Linked DNA regions of Tribolium castaneum. The protein of the gene in region 1 interacts with the protein of each later gene in a pairwise test. Links are inferred from orthologs where the notes say so. Each region holds a gene or a part of one and is shown in the gene's direction. Other genes may lie near its edges.

Region 1 (6,786 bases):
GTATAGATTGTTTAGTCTGCGGTCCGTTACGAAGATTATAAGCCTTATTTATCCTCTTGTCTTATGAATAAATGCGCTGTTATTAATTTATTATTTAAGAAGAGCACCTCAGCCAAAGTTGATTGATTATAGGGGCTCTCCGGAAATGCATTTATTTTAGTTGAGTGATTTTTTAGTTTTTTGTTTGTTGTTAGGGGAACTAGGCTGTTAGTTTGGTGTTAGGTTTCATTGGTGCACTACTGTAACGAATCAAATGGGAGAATCGCCAAATGTGTGTACATTCTCAGTTTTCAGATCGTTTTAAAACTTAATTAATTTTTTAATTCATAGTTGTATGTAATATTGTATTGGAACATTGTTTTTTTTTTTCATTAAATTTTCTTAAACTTTATTCTTTTTTATTTACTAGTAACAAAGCGACACAGTAAAATAAAGTGATTTGAATCGGGAATTCTTGCTAAACCTTGAACTTTCCCTGTTATTTGACGTTTTATTTATATGAACTGTTGGGGTGCATGGAGTTATAAGAGTTCCAGGGGCAACAGTATTTGTTGCGGGCGCGCGTGGGGAGTGATATGATGTATATTTTATTCTAGGCTTGATTTTGCTCACGCTCAGCCTGGAACTAGTGCTCCAGCTGGCACAGGTTTTAGATACGCGGGACGGGCTCGTACTCAGTCTTTTGGATCTGGCCGTACCAAAAGTAACCGAAATACCGGTGAATCTTGGCGACAGAAAGAGCCAGATGGTAGGTTGGGTGGGTTTGAGTGACTTTTGGCCTGAATTGAACTTTGTTACAGGCAAATTTGAAAATTCCACAAACGCTGCTTAAGTTCCAACAAGTGTTCTAGTTAAGTGATCAAGGTAATTTTTCGTACGTTGCTCGGTCTTTTCTTTTGTAAATTTTAAGTGTAGGTTATAATGTTTTAAATTATAGTTATAATTATTATAAAACTATCAAGCACTGATGTTTGTATAAAAATGAATAACTGATGTATAAAAGTGTAAGTAGATTTGCGCAAGTGCCATTGCCTTAAAATAACTGACAGTTTCATATTTTTCTAGTAATTACAAGATGAAGCTATGCAACGCAATATTTTTTAAATGTCAGTGGAGACCGTATCGGTTCTATTATTATATAACGTGAATGATTTAGTCATAAAGTTTTGTGTGAGTTTGATGGTTACATTAATCAGTTGTATTGTAATGACTGCGCTATACTTTGTACATACATATGGGCTCACTCCACAATACTTTCATATATAAAATCTAAAAAATAGGCTGTTTCGTTTTCGCTTTAGTGTGTACCAATATATTAAGCATTATGTAGCTGGGCTACACGTATAACTGCTTAGCTGAGATTTCTTAAGGTTGGTTCATTAGAAAACAATACAATCAATGTACGTTTAGTTGAGCTAAGAATGTTTGCACTTTTCATTGAAAATGGCAATCATACGATGGTAAATTTTACTTATTTACTTAAGGTATGCATTTCCCCAAAAAAATTTAGTTGTAATGTTGTTTCAAGACTATAGATAAACGCCACTCGCCAACTCGTTGTTCTAATACCATTTAATGACACAACCACCGTTTCTTTTGTTATTATATTATTGTTTTTTTTTTGCGCGTAGCCTCGATCTAAAGTAGGGACTACTCTTTACGTTGTTACATTGCCGGATTTTCTTTCACTCCTCCCGTAGTAGGGACTACTTTTTACTTTGTTACGTTGCCGGATTTTCTTTCACTCCGCCCGTAGTAGGGACTACTTTTTACTTTGTTACGTTGCCGGATTTTCATTCACTTCTCCCGTAGTAGGGACTACTTTTTACTTTGTTACGTTGCCGGATTTTCTTTCACTCCTCTCGTTTGATCTAGCTTGAGGATATTTATAAGTTGTGTTAGGACCCCTTGACAACTGGTTTAGGGGCAAGACTAGACAAAGGTGTTGTTACTTGAAACTCTGTTTTTATTAATACGACTAAATCCCATTTGTTTTATATTGTTAACAGTTTTAGGTGTCAACTACTCTTGATATATTTTTATAATGACCTTCCCTTTGGTATGTTTATGAAAATGTAAATCATAGGACAGGCAAGGAGTTCTTTTGTATGTGTTTTCGTAATATTGTATTTAGAGTACTAATTCATCATTTTAAGATAGTTGAAAATCTGCTTTTCCGTCTCGCCTGCAACCAACCACGTGCAATCGACAATTGATTGCAGGCGAGACGAAAAAACACATAAATCTTGTGATAATTAAACGTTTTTTTTGCTCAACTCCTTGCAATTTATTACATAGTTAAGTTAGTTTGTAAAGTGTGTTGTGGAAGTGTGGTCAAAGATTTGTCTTCCTGTAACACGTAAAAAAAATTAAAAAAAATTACAAAACTAGCTCGTCTTTTATTTCGAATCTCCCGGTTAAGGCGGCCCTCAACACCAGTTCCTTCAAGAGATGGCAGGGCAAGCACCTGTCATATTACACCACTCAGATGACTTGATTTGTGTTGTTTCTGTTTTATCCCAGCTTAACATGCTTAGCAACAAATTCCCTTGGGAAAATAGTGTCATAATTATTTATTAAAAGTTCAAACCCAACCGTGTCAATATGGATTTTGATAGCCCCGACGTAATGAAGGATTTCCCAGGCTTGTACGCATCCGAATTAAATAAGCAGTGCAATAACGACAGCGACTGTAATAATAAATTAAGTGAACCACTAATTCCCGATTAAAACTCGTTTCTAGATAGTGACGAAAATGAGAAAGTCTTGAAAAAGGACATTCTCATCGGAAAACGCAAAGAGAAGAAGGATAAAGACAAAGGTTATGCCGCTTTAGAAGGCGAAAGTTCAGCTGATGAAAATTTCAAGTCGAGGTAATCACACCTGCAATCACTCAAACCCTCACTGGGATGTTTCAGAAGCCCGTCGAAAACAAAAAAAGCCAAACCGTTCAAATTCTCCACCAAAGCCAAAGAAAAACGGGACAAATCCCGCGAAAAAGAGAAAGATCTCGACAAGAAGAAAGACCGGGATAAGAAGAATGACAAGAAGCAGGACAAGGAGAAAGTCAAGAGTGAGAAAACGAAGAAACTCAAACAGTCAATTGACGAGACCGCTGACATCGGCGGTGAGAACTCTTACATAATGACAATAAAATTGGAATGAATTGTTCGTTCCAGATATTTTACCGATTTTCGGGGCTAGTTTAGACGTGGCTGTTGAGAGGAGCCGGTGCCATGACGGTGTAGACATTCCTTTACCCATTCGGGAATGTATAGACTATGTAGAAACCGTAGGTATGTCGTTCGAAGGCATATACAAAATCAGCGGAACAAAATCAAAAGTTCTCCAAATACGTAAAATGTACAATCAGAGGGGCAATATCAATTTAAATGACTACGACCCTCCAACCGTCACAAGTTTAGTAAAAACCTATTTAAGGTAACCTTTTCTTAGGTGTAACATGATGGGCAAAAACTCTTTGCAGAGATTTACCAGAACCACTTTTTACAAACGACCTTTTAATACGTTTCGAGGAAGCCGGAGCCATCCTTAATCTCAACACTCGCGAAAAACACTTAAAAATTTTAGTGGACCTTTTACCTCCCCACAACAAAACGCTCCTCGGCTGGCTCATCACCCATTTACACAACGTTTCTCTGAATGTGAGTGCCTTAACACCCCAGCCCCCATAGTATAGCGCGTTTCGCAGGAAAAATGCAACAAAATGAACAAACAAGCCATTTCCACAGCCCTCAACCACACCTTCCACTGCTCCTCGCGCCTCCTCCACGCCCTGCTCCACCACTGCCTCGCGCTCTTCCCCACAATCACAATCGCGCGCTACGTGCCCCCTCTCGAGTCCGGGGCCAAGCTCCCCGAGGAGCCCCCCGAGATCGAGACGGAGCTCAAGAAGCAGGAGTCGCTCCTCACCCAGATCCACAAGGAGATGAACGTCTGCTGCATCTCGAAGCAGCGCGAGGAGCTCCTCTGGGAGGTGCAGAGGATCATCACGCAGCTGAAGCGCAAGCTGAAAACGGCGAACCGCGACAAGGAAGCGGTCGAGAAGGTGGAAGCCCCCGAGCCCGAGGCGCAGCCCGAGGAGGCGGCCAGCGAGGAGGAGTCGGAGCTGGACGGCAGCGTCGCGCTGCTGAAGTTCAAGAACGAGGGGCTGCTGCTGCTCAGAGACTCGCTCCTGAAGGACATCCAGGCGGAGCGCGGCCAGATCGCCGTGCTGCGCTCGCAGATCACGGGGGAGGTGCCGCCCGTGGCGATGGTGCCCAACGAGGACCTGGACGAAGTCATGGACCTGTTCCTCAAGGAGAACCAAATTTTGCAAATCAAGAAGATCAACTTGGTCCGCCAGATCATCGAGGAGCAGGAGATGTGCATCGAGCTGAGAGCGCAGATTTTAGCCAAGTCGTAATGTGTCCAGTATTATTGTAACTGTATATAATAAATGTTCAAATTGACGCTGGGTTTAAATTTAGGTAGACTTGACATTGGAGTGGGCCTAAGGTTACGGTATGCAACTAGCAATGCGCCTGAACTAAGCCAACAGGCGGCGCTAGCACTACTTAAGTCGAGTATTTTTACATGTTTTTGTGCGTGTTGTTTTTATTTTTAGTGGGGAGTGAGTTCGTACTGTTTCATGTCCGATATTATTTTAGAATAGGAAGTGGTTGAAGGTGTTTAATTTTTTAATTGTTATTTGTTGGATTTTTACGACCGTCCCTTGTGATGTTTGCTGGCGTTTGGCAAAGTCAATAAATAAGATAAGGAGTTTCGTTAGTGTTTAGTGTGTATACATTGCTCATTTTATTATATTGTTATAAGTCACATTTTGAATCGAAGCCTCAAGGGACCATCTCGTGGTAAGTCTTCTGTGACCCAAAACCCCATTTATGACTCCCACGTCAATAACAATCATAATCAAGTTTGCTCAACTTTTGATTAAATTGTCGACTTTGTTTACACAGATGATTCCGTTTAACCCAGAAACTTCACCAACCCGGAATTTTAGCCCATTCGTCTTCGGCACCCTTTCTTTATCTTATTTATTGTACGAAATGTTTTTAAAAAGATTAGATTATAATAGTATGTAGGTAGTTTACTTTGTTCAGGTCTTCAAGGTTATAATAAGCAACCACGAAAACATTCTTGATTTGTTTAATTTTCGGATTTGAAGCCGTTCCAGTAGCCGAAGACGTCTGTAATTATTACAGTTTTATTTACAAACTAAAAACACCGACTTGGGCATCCAAGCATGAAATTGATACGATAATCCAGATTGAATCTTTTTCCAAAAGTGGAACAAGAGATTATGTCAGATATCGTACATTTAATTCGAATTGTTCTGCCTTAGGAGGCAAGAAAGTGAAAAAACGAGATTTTAAACTAATTAATGCATTTTCTAAATCACTTTCGTTTTATTGTGTTAATCTGCCCCTCATCCTTATCTAAGATTACGCACATGCACACTTATCAGTAATAATAATTCATTCCAAGCTCTTTAACGTGATTTATTTTATTATCTTTCTAATCTTTTCATCGCTTTCGAATCCGATTCTTTATCCTGATTCGCGCTCCAATGATTCTGGGTAATAAGATTTTTTGTCCTGCTGTGATTACATTTTTTGCTAATTATAGTCAAATCTGGAGAAATCGAAAATGGGGAGAATGTAAACATTTTTCCAGCGCACAATGCCTTTTTAACTGTAGCCGAAACAGTAACCAGTGAATGTAACGGTCAATGTTACACTTGCACTTTAATATTTATAAGTGTTACACAACTAGAAATCAAAAAATCAAGATCAGCTCTCAAGAATTCAGATAAACTGATTAGCGAGAAGTAATTTACGATTCGTTTTAAGTTGCAAAAATTTTCAAATTTGAGTAATGGCTTATGAATATTGATGCTAATCAGCGGTCGAAAACTGGTCCAATTAATGCACCGAAAGTAAAATGAGTTAAATGCCTTCCAAATAAGTACGGTGCGGTCGAGCCGCGGTCTATTTTCCAATTTCCGTTCGATTATTTGAGTCGAGACAAAGCAGCTTTCTAATTTTTTTCTCGATTTGATTGTCTATCAAGGCTGTTGAATTCGCAAGTTTGAGATGAATATGACGTCATCGGGTACAATAACACTGGTAGAGTCGTAGGATGGAAATTATAGTTTGTTGAAAAATACCAAAGAAACACTTCGTTCCAATTTACGGATCGGAGGAAATGTAGAAAGTAGCTAAGTAGTTCATTTATACGATTAGATAACTTCGGTGGCCTTCACCGTTCATAATTTTCACTGTTAATGTTTACAAATTGACCTAGCCACATAAATTTGAGCACAATGCGGGAAAAGCGAAACCGAACACACGAATGTTATCGTCGAGTGGATTTGTTTTGCAACTTGAATTGTTTTGTTTTTTCCTCAATCAAGCCATAGCGGGATGATTAGTCTTACTTACATATTTAGTCGCGCTTAGTCAATCTGCGATAGTTAATTAATTGCCTGATTACCTCCAGGTAGTGTCGTGTAAACAGACTATCCGCATTGTAATAGTAAGATTAGTATTGCTGATCACGATCCTGTAGAAACTCTGTTCGCATCAATTGTGTGGACATTCCTTTGTAGCCTTGTTAATTATGCTTCCAGATGTGTAAAGAAAGAATTGCAATCATGAAGAACATATAAGTGTCCTAGTTATGGAATCAGAAGAAGCGCTCAACTACTACATTAACGAAGTTAAAGACACTAACAATGAGATAGAAATCGAGGAAGAGCAAGTC
Region 2 (6,503 bases), on another chromosome or scaffold:
TTTGTGCGGGGACAGCTGATAACAGTATTTGAATGCAGGTTTCTCGTGCTCAAACTGGACAATAGTGGTGTCTGTCACCCACACTTATCTTCCACACTCCTACCAACACCGGAAGTAACCACCCAAACAGAACTGTTATTACTTTTAATTGTTTCGTTTGAATTCAGTTATTTATTTTATTGTTTGTGTAGTCTATTGAGTTCTATCATTCCATGATTAGCGGAATTATTATTTAGACCAAAGACCCCGAAATTGTTTGGCTTATTGTACAGCATTTTGTTCAGCTCATTGTACATAAATAGCGTAAGTTTTCCAAGACTCTGATCTTATTTTCTGCATCAGAAAATAATTATACGAAACAATAATTTTGTGTTCAAAATTATTGGGACTAGATTAGATAATAATGTATATAGGTAGTTCAGCTTGGCTAAAATTAGGCAAAGCTTCGATTTTTGGCACCAATTATTGTCATATCATAAACTCGGTGCCTGAGTTGAACACCACATTTCGTGGCCAATTTTTATTTACAGTTGAACTGTACTTAAGCGCCCTCACGCGGCCAATTTTTTTAAGTAAGCTTTGCCAACTCCGTTGGGAGCTTGCCAACAGTTTTGGTTTGTAAATAATTGTAAATTGTGACGCTGTCTTAATGTTATTGTTGAAACTACTAGATAAGGTGCTACTTCACACTTTTGTGAATAGTCAAATAGGGTGTGCTGTCTTTAGAAAAAATTGTTTTTTTTTGCCTGGTAGGTTGTACTTACGGCAAGTTTTGGAATAGTTAATTGTTAGTTTCTAGGTACAAATCCTAACCTTTGTAAATACATGTTTTAGCGTTTAAACTGTACAGTAACTCTATACAAACTTGGAACAAAGTACCTAATAAATGACCTTTTACAGTGAAATAAAACTATTTAAGTAGAATCCAGAGTTTTATTGCTGCCATAAGGCAGAGTTAAAAATATTTTCTCACCACAAAAAAATTACCCTTCTTTTCTAATCCTATGTCAGCTAACTGCAAAACCTAATAACCAAGTGTTTCCTACTTTAAATGGCCTCGTTTTTGGAAGATTAATCTTTATCGTCGTCGTCATCATCGTCAACATCTTTGGATTTGTGTCTTCTAAAATCACTATCTTTGGATGAGAAAGATCTGCAATAAAATCAATAAAACCCGTCCGGAAAAAATCAAACCACTTGCATTATATCTAGACTAGAATCACTATTTTTTGCTGCATGTTCATGTTCCGAAGACCCTGATCCTGACCCAACTTCCATCAGTTCCTCGGCTTTTCTCTCAGGGTCTGAGTCGGGGTCGGAGTCCTGACTTATGCTAGTCTTCTGCCACGCAGGTATCGACGGACGGACTACTGAGCTTTTGGAAACCGGCGGAAATTGATTCCGGCTCAGGAGCAGGCCTTTGACTGTCGCAATTTCAGATTTCAAGTCTGATAATTGCCGCTGCGTGCTGCTCTCAGCCCCTTGACTAATTTTATCTACTTCTACTTTGACACTAAGTAAATTGTTTTTTAAGTCATTCACAGATTGCTTAAAACTCTTGTCTAATTCATCTATCGACTCCTCTACACTTTTCTTCTTTTTCCCGAAGAAAAACGGCGCTATAAATTTCTGCAAAAAATGGTATAGCGGCTTTTAACCACGGGAAACACGCACCATGTAAAATTTGTACACGACGTACGCTACGAAACTAAAAATGGCCACATTATGTACAACTTCTTTAACCTTATCAAATAAACTAATTTGGACCGTTGCACTGTTTGGGTACGGAATTAGGGAACTTGGGGGCAGAGGCGGCGTCCGATTTCTTTGTTCGTGGTATTTGTAAGCCCCCGATTTCTCGCACGCCTGTCTGATCTCCTCATCGGTTAAACCCTTCCGTTTCAAAAACCTTTGTTGTTCTCCTAGCGATGTTTTGAGCACGTTGGGGTTCTCCAGGAATTTTATAGCCGTGTTCACCTACAGTTAGCAATCGATAAATGGGGCAATTTAACCTAAACAACTTACCAAATCTTCCCGAACTGGGGGAGTCTCAGGGCGATTTTCCTCAAGTGAGGACAGTTGATCAGACATGGTTTTACACTAACCTAATTACTTAAAATTGATACATGGAAGTGATAACGCGAGTTCGGAAGACACCACACTTGTTTTTCTGCAAACTTTTAATTTTCAATCTCAAATTCCAAGGTTAAACAAAAACAAATGTCATTGGGACGCTGTCAAATCAAATTCCTGGAGACAAAGCGAAAGTCACTATTTAAATTTAGTCAAAAGACGACTTTTTTTCAAAAAAAAATTGCGATTTTATTGTAGAAACCTTTAAGCATTAGTCAATAATATTAGATAATTGCGATAATAATAATTTTTGTGTTTTTGCTAACATGGAAGCGTTATCGAGCGCATTATGAAACCAAACACTCTTTGGATTATCGCAGTGACAAGTTGTCAGTGGGTGTATGATGGCCAAGTAAAATAAAAACCGTTCGGCTTTAACTAATAATTCCGTTAAATCACAAAAGTGTGTGCGTAAAAAGCCTCTAATGACTTCACAATTCGGTAAATAACCAGTTTTCCCTCAAACTGTCCAATTTTTGGCCGATTTCAGTCGGCGTGAATAAAACTGCATTTGTAGTGATTACACCTGGTTTTAGGTCATTAGGCGAGAGCTGAGCCGGCAGAATGATCGGGGGGTTGTTCGTGTACAACCACAAGGGCGAAGTCCTCATTTCCCGAGTTTACAGGGATGATATCGGCAGAAATGCGGTCGATGCGTTTCGGGTTAATGTTATACATGCCCGACAACAAGTCCGCTCTCCGGTCACAAACATAGCACGAACGTCCTTTTTCCACATTAAGGTACATTTTGGTTTTGAAAATTGGACAAAAACTGGTGCGATTTCAACTTTTTCACAACCTTTTTGTTGCTTGTTTTGCGAATTTTGCACAAAATTGTATCAAATGAGTCTAGTCTCGGTCGAAATTGTGTTTTTTGATTTCCAGAGGGCTAATATTTGGATTGCCGCCGTAACAAAGCAAAATGTCAACGCCGCCATGGTTTTTGAGTTCTTGTTGAAGATTATCGAAGTCATGCAGTCGTATTTTGGGAAAATCTCTGAAGAGAATATTAAAAATAATTTCGTTCTTATTTATGAATTACTAGACGGTAAAATCGTTCAGTTGCATTGATTTGGTCATTACATGAAAATTGTAGAAATCCTGGACTTTGGTTACCCTCAAAACACCGATACCGGCGTTTTGAAAACGTTCATAACCCAACAAGGGATCAAATCGGCCACTAAGGAAGAACAAGCTCAGATTACGTCACAGGTTACTGGTCAGATTGGTTGGAGGCGTGAGGGTATCAAGTATCGTCGAAACGAGTTGTTTTTGGATGTTTTGGAATATGTTAACCTACTTATGTCGCCTCAAGGTTTTATAATTTTTTTTCCTGAATTTGTTTTCATAAAAAACTTTAGGCCAGGTTCTTTCGGCCCACGTGGCCGGTAAAGTCGTGATGAAGTCGTATTTGTCGGGAATGCCCGAATGCAAGTTCGGGATTAACGACAAGATTGTGATGGAAGCCAAAGGCAAAGGGGGCTTAGGGTCGACGTCTGATTCCGATCAGACCCGGTCTGGCAAACCAGTCGTTGTAATTGACGATTGCCAGTTCCACCAATGCGTGAAATTAAGTAAATTCGAAACCGAACATTCCATTAGCTTTATTCCACCTGACGGTGAATTCGAATTGATGAGATATCGTACAACTAAAGACATATCGTTGCCATTTCGGGTAATTCCCCTCGTGCGTGAAGTCGGTCGCACCAAAATGGAGGTCAAGGTGGTGCTGAAAAGCAACTTCAAGCCGTCGCTTCTTGGGCAAAAAATCGAAGTTAAAATTCCAACTCCGTTGAACACTTCGGGAGTTCAATTGATTTGTTTGAAAGGAAAGGCGAAATACAAAGCATCGGAAAATGCGATTGTTTGGAAGTAAGTTAGTGACAATCGATTGATTCACTTATTTGTATTCTGTTTTTCCCCAAGGATCAAACGTATGGCTGGAATGAAGGAGACGCAATTATCGGCCGAAATCGAGCTTCTGGAGACCGACACGAAGAAGAAGTGGACAAGACCGCCGATTTCTATGAATTTCGAAGTACCGTTCGCACCGTCCGGTTTTAAAGTACGATACTTGAAGGTTTTCGAGCCGAAATTGAATTACTCGGATCATGATGTTATTAAATGGGTGCGGTATATCGGAAGGAGCGGACTTTACGAAACTCGATGCTAAATTTTGAGGAACAACATTTTATTTCAATTATGTTTATTTTGTGTTATCTAATTTAGTAGTTAGTTGCTTTTTTTATCGATGGTTTACATCATGTCGGATCGAATATTATTTCTTGCTCTCAAATACTCAAGGCAAGCTTGATGTTGGAATAGAAGTGTTATGCAAAAGTATGCTCTCAATAATTTTATGTGAAACAATTTCACTGTGTTATCTGTAGATGAGGTATAACCATGTATATTTGTGAAGTGTAATGTTACATAAGCTTGGAAATAAATTGTAGCGAATAAGTTGGTGTCTCATTTGTCGCAAAACCAAAAAAAATCGGATTAGAACATACCTTGTGTTTACATTCGACGAAGTTGATTTTTTTTGTTTCATTATTTATTCTTATTAGAAGATGAGGTAAGTAGGTAAAAACGAATCACGAATACTTGACTGAGAAAAAACAATCACTGATAATCAGGACTCTTGGGCTCCCAATTAATTATTATGCAGTTTGGAAATTAAGTAAAGAATAAATTCATTAACTCCAGCATTTGCGCTAGAAATAAAAAGCGTGTGGTAGCGTTAACTGTCACGCATACGAGGAACGAATACTTATTTTGTTTGAGTTATACTCAAACTCAAAGTTAAAAAATGGAAAGCATGCGGTGACCGGAACTTCTGGCAGTCCCTCTTTCAACCGTCTTTCTAGAATCACCAGGTTGGTTCCAAGTACCTAATCCACTTTGTATTCAAATTCCCCGCACAGTTCTCCAACATTCAATACTCGTTAAACTGGTTGCCTGTGTATATTATGTTTAATTTGTTGTCTATATTAGCTTTTGAATTTTATAACGAGATGCATACCATCACCAATGACTAAATTTCGTGAATAAAATGTTTTGGGACGAAATCTTGGCGTTTTCTTTTCCTAAACACAGTCAGGGGCGTATTTAGGTATAGGCAAAATAGGCTGGCGCCTAAAGCAAACGCGGATTTTATTTTAAATGTTAATTTGTGAATAAAATTTAATTAATAAAAGTACGGAAGTAAAACCTAAAAAAAACCTACTTTTTTTTTGTTTTGATTAAGCAACTCACAGGATGGCTGACGAATATGTTGTGGTATTAAATTTTAAGCAGGTTGCGGCTCCGATAGTAGCAGAATAACCCAAACAAAACGATGAAGTTGAAAAAAGAGCGTCATCAAAATTTTTTGAAAGGGATTTTGTTACGTTTGAAATTCAGTTGTTCACAAATACTTGATGGCAAATATGCTTTGTTCGTCGCGAACAAAAATAATTAATAACGTTTCACTTATGAGGGGTAGCAGAAAAAATTAAGTGGTGCGCGGAATAAAAAACAAGCTAAAGAAAGACTTGAAAAACTATACGAAGTAGTTAATAAAATATTTAAAATTGAAGACAACTTTAAACTTTTTCCGGGTGTTCTTCAAAAACTGTCGAATGTGAAAAAATTTTCACACTAAGCAAAGTATTTAAATAATTGAGTGTTAATGATTAGAGATGATTAATATTGAATTAATTGTAACTGAAGACTCAAAAAATATTATGGTGAGTGTAAGCTGTAATCCTACAGAATTGATAAATTTTGAAATATTTATGTGTTTATTGATTTTCTTTACGTAAAAAAAATTAAAACGTGGTAGGGGGCGGCTTATATTTTTTGCATATAGGTGGCAAAATTGTAAATACGCTCTTACACACAGTGCTTCATATAACGATCTCAAACTCTACACTACAACATAACGGTTTTTTCTAGACGATCGTCACATAAAAACTTACACTTTGACAAGGCCAGATCTTAGGCCAGACCAAGTTGATACGAATTTGTATTTGTATTGTATTTGCTTTGTATTGAAAATAAAAAAAAAAACATTTAATAGGTAATTTAAAATACAGGCCTGAGATATTTTGGATTTTTGTTAACTGTTCTCGCAGACATAAAGCAAAAATTAAATTGAAAGTAGGCAGCTTTTAAAATACATCGCTCTTCGAATGCCAAGCTAGCTGGAAGAAGATTTATGAGGGACTTACGACGCACAGCTGGAAGTCAATTACCATTGGGGTAACCCAATTGTTTGTTCAAAACTGAGATATGTATGTGCACAAGTAGGAATTTTAGGGATTTTTCTAATATTTGTACATAATTATTTATTAGAGCTCATGATTTCGGAATTAATTTTTTTAATCAAA

Evidence for each region.
Region 2: the proteins of Rlip (region 1) and AP-2mu interact in a two-hybrid assay, tested with the Drosophila melanogaster proteins (2 studies listed by BioGRID). The link is inferred for Tribolium castaneum from reciprocal best matches to the Drosophila melanogaster genes Rlip and AP-2mu.

What each region holds. Positions count from the first base shown.
Region 1 is NC_087403.1:3,534,476-3,541,261, reverse strand, and holds Rlip (ralA-binding protein 1), read left to right. Parts: upstream 1-2,462; 5' UTR 2,463-2,604; coding exon 2,605-2,692; intron 2,693-2,743; coding exon 2,744-2,873; intron 2,874-2,918; coding exon 2,919-3,127; intron 3,128-3,179; coding exon 3,180-3,441; intron 3,442-3,487; coding exon 3,488-3,665; intron 3,666-3,712; coding exon 3,713-4,426; 3' UTR 4,427-4,472; downstream 4,473-6,786. Other genes in the region: larp (la-related protein 1), read left to right, coding at 597-748, 801-832; conu (rho GTPase-activating protein conundrum), read left to right, coding at 6,703-6,786. UniProt on the Drosophila melanogaster protein: Participates in receptor endocytosis during interphase, is also involved in mitotic processes when endocytosis is switched off.
Region 2 is NC_087395.1:22,139,727-22,146,229, reverse strand, and holds AP-2mu (AP-2 complex subunit mu), read left to right. Parts: upstream 1-2,474; 5' UTR 2,475-2,574; intron 2,575-2,669; 5' UTR 2,670-2,697; coding exon 2,698-2,874; intron 2,875-3,018; coding exon 3,019-3,181; intron 3,182-3,229; coding exon 3,230-3,448; intron 3,449-3,494; coding exon 3,495-4,005; intron 4,006-4,059; coding exon 4,060-4,306; 3' UTR 4,307-4,530; downstream 4,531-6,503. Other genes in the region: peroxisomal membrane protein PEX14, read right to left, coding at 1,072-1,153, 1,202-1,629, 1,675-1,977, 2,026-2,091.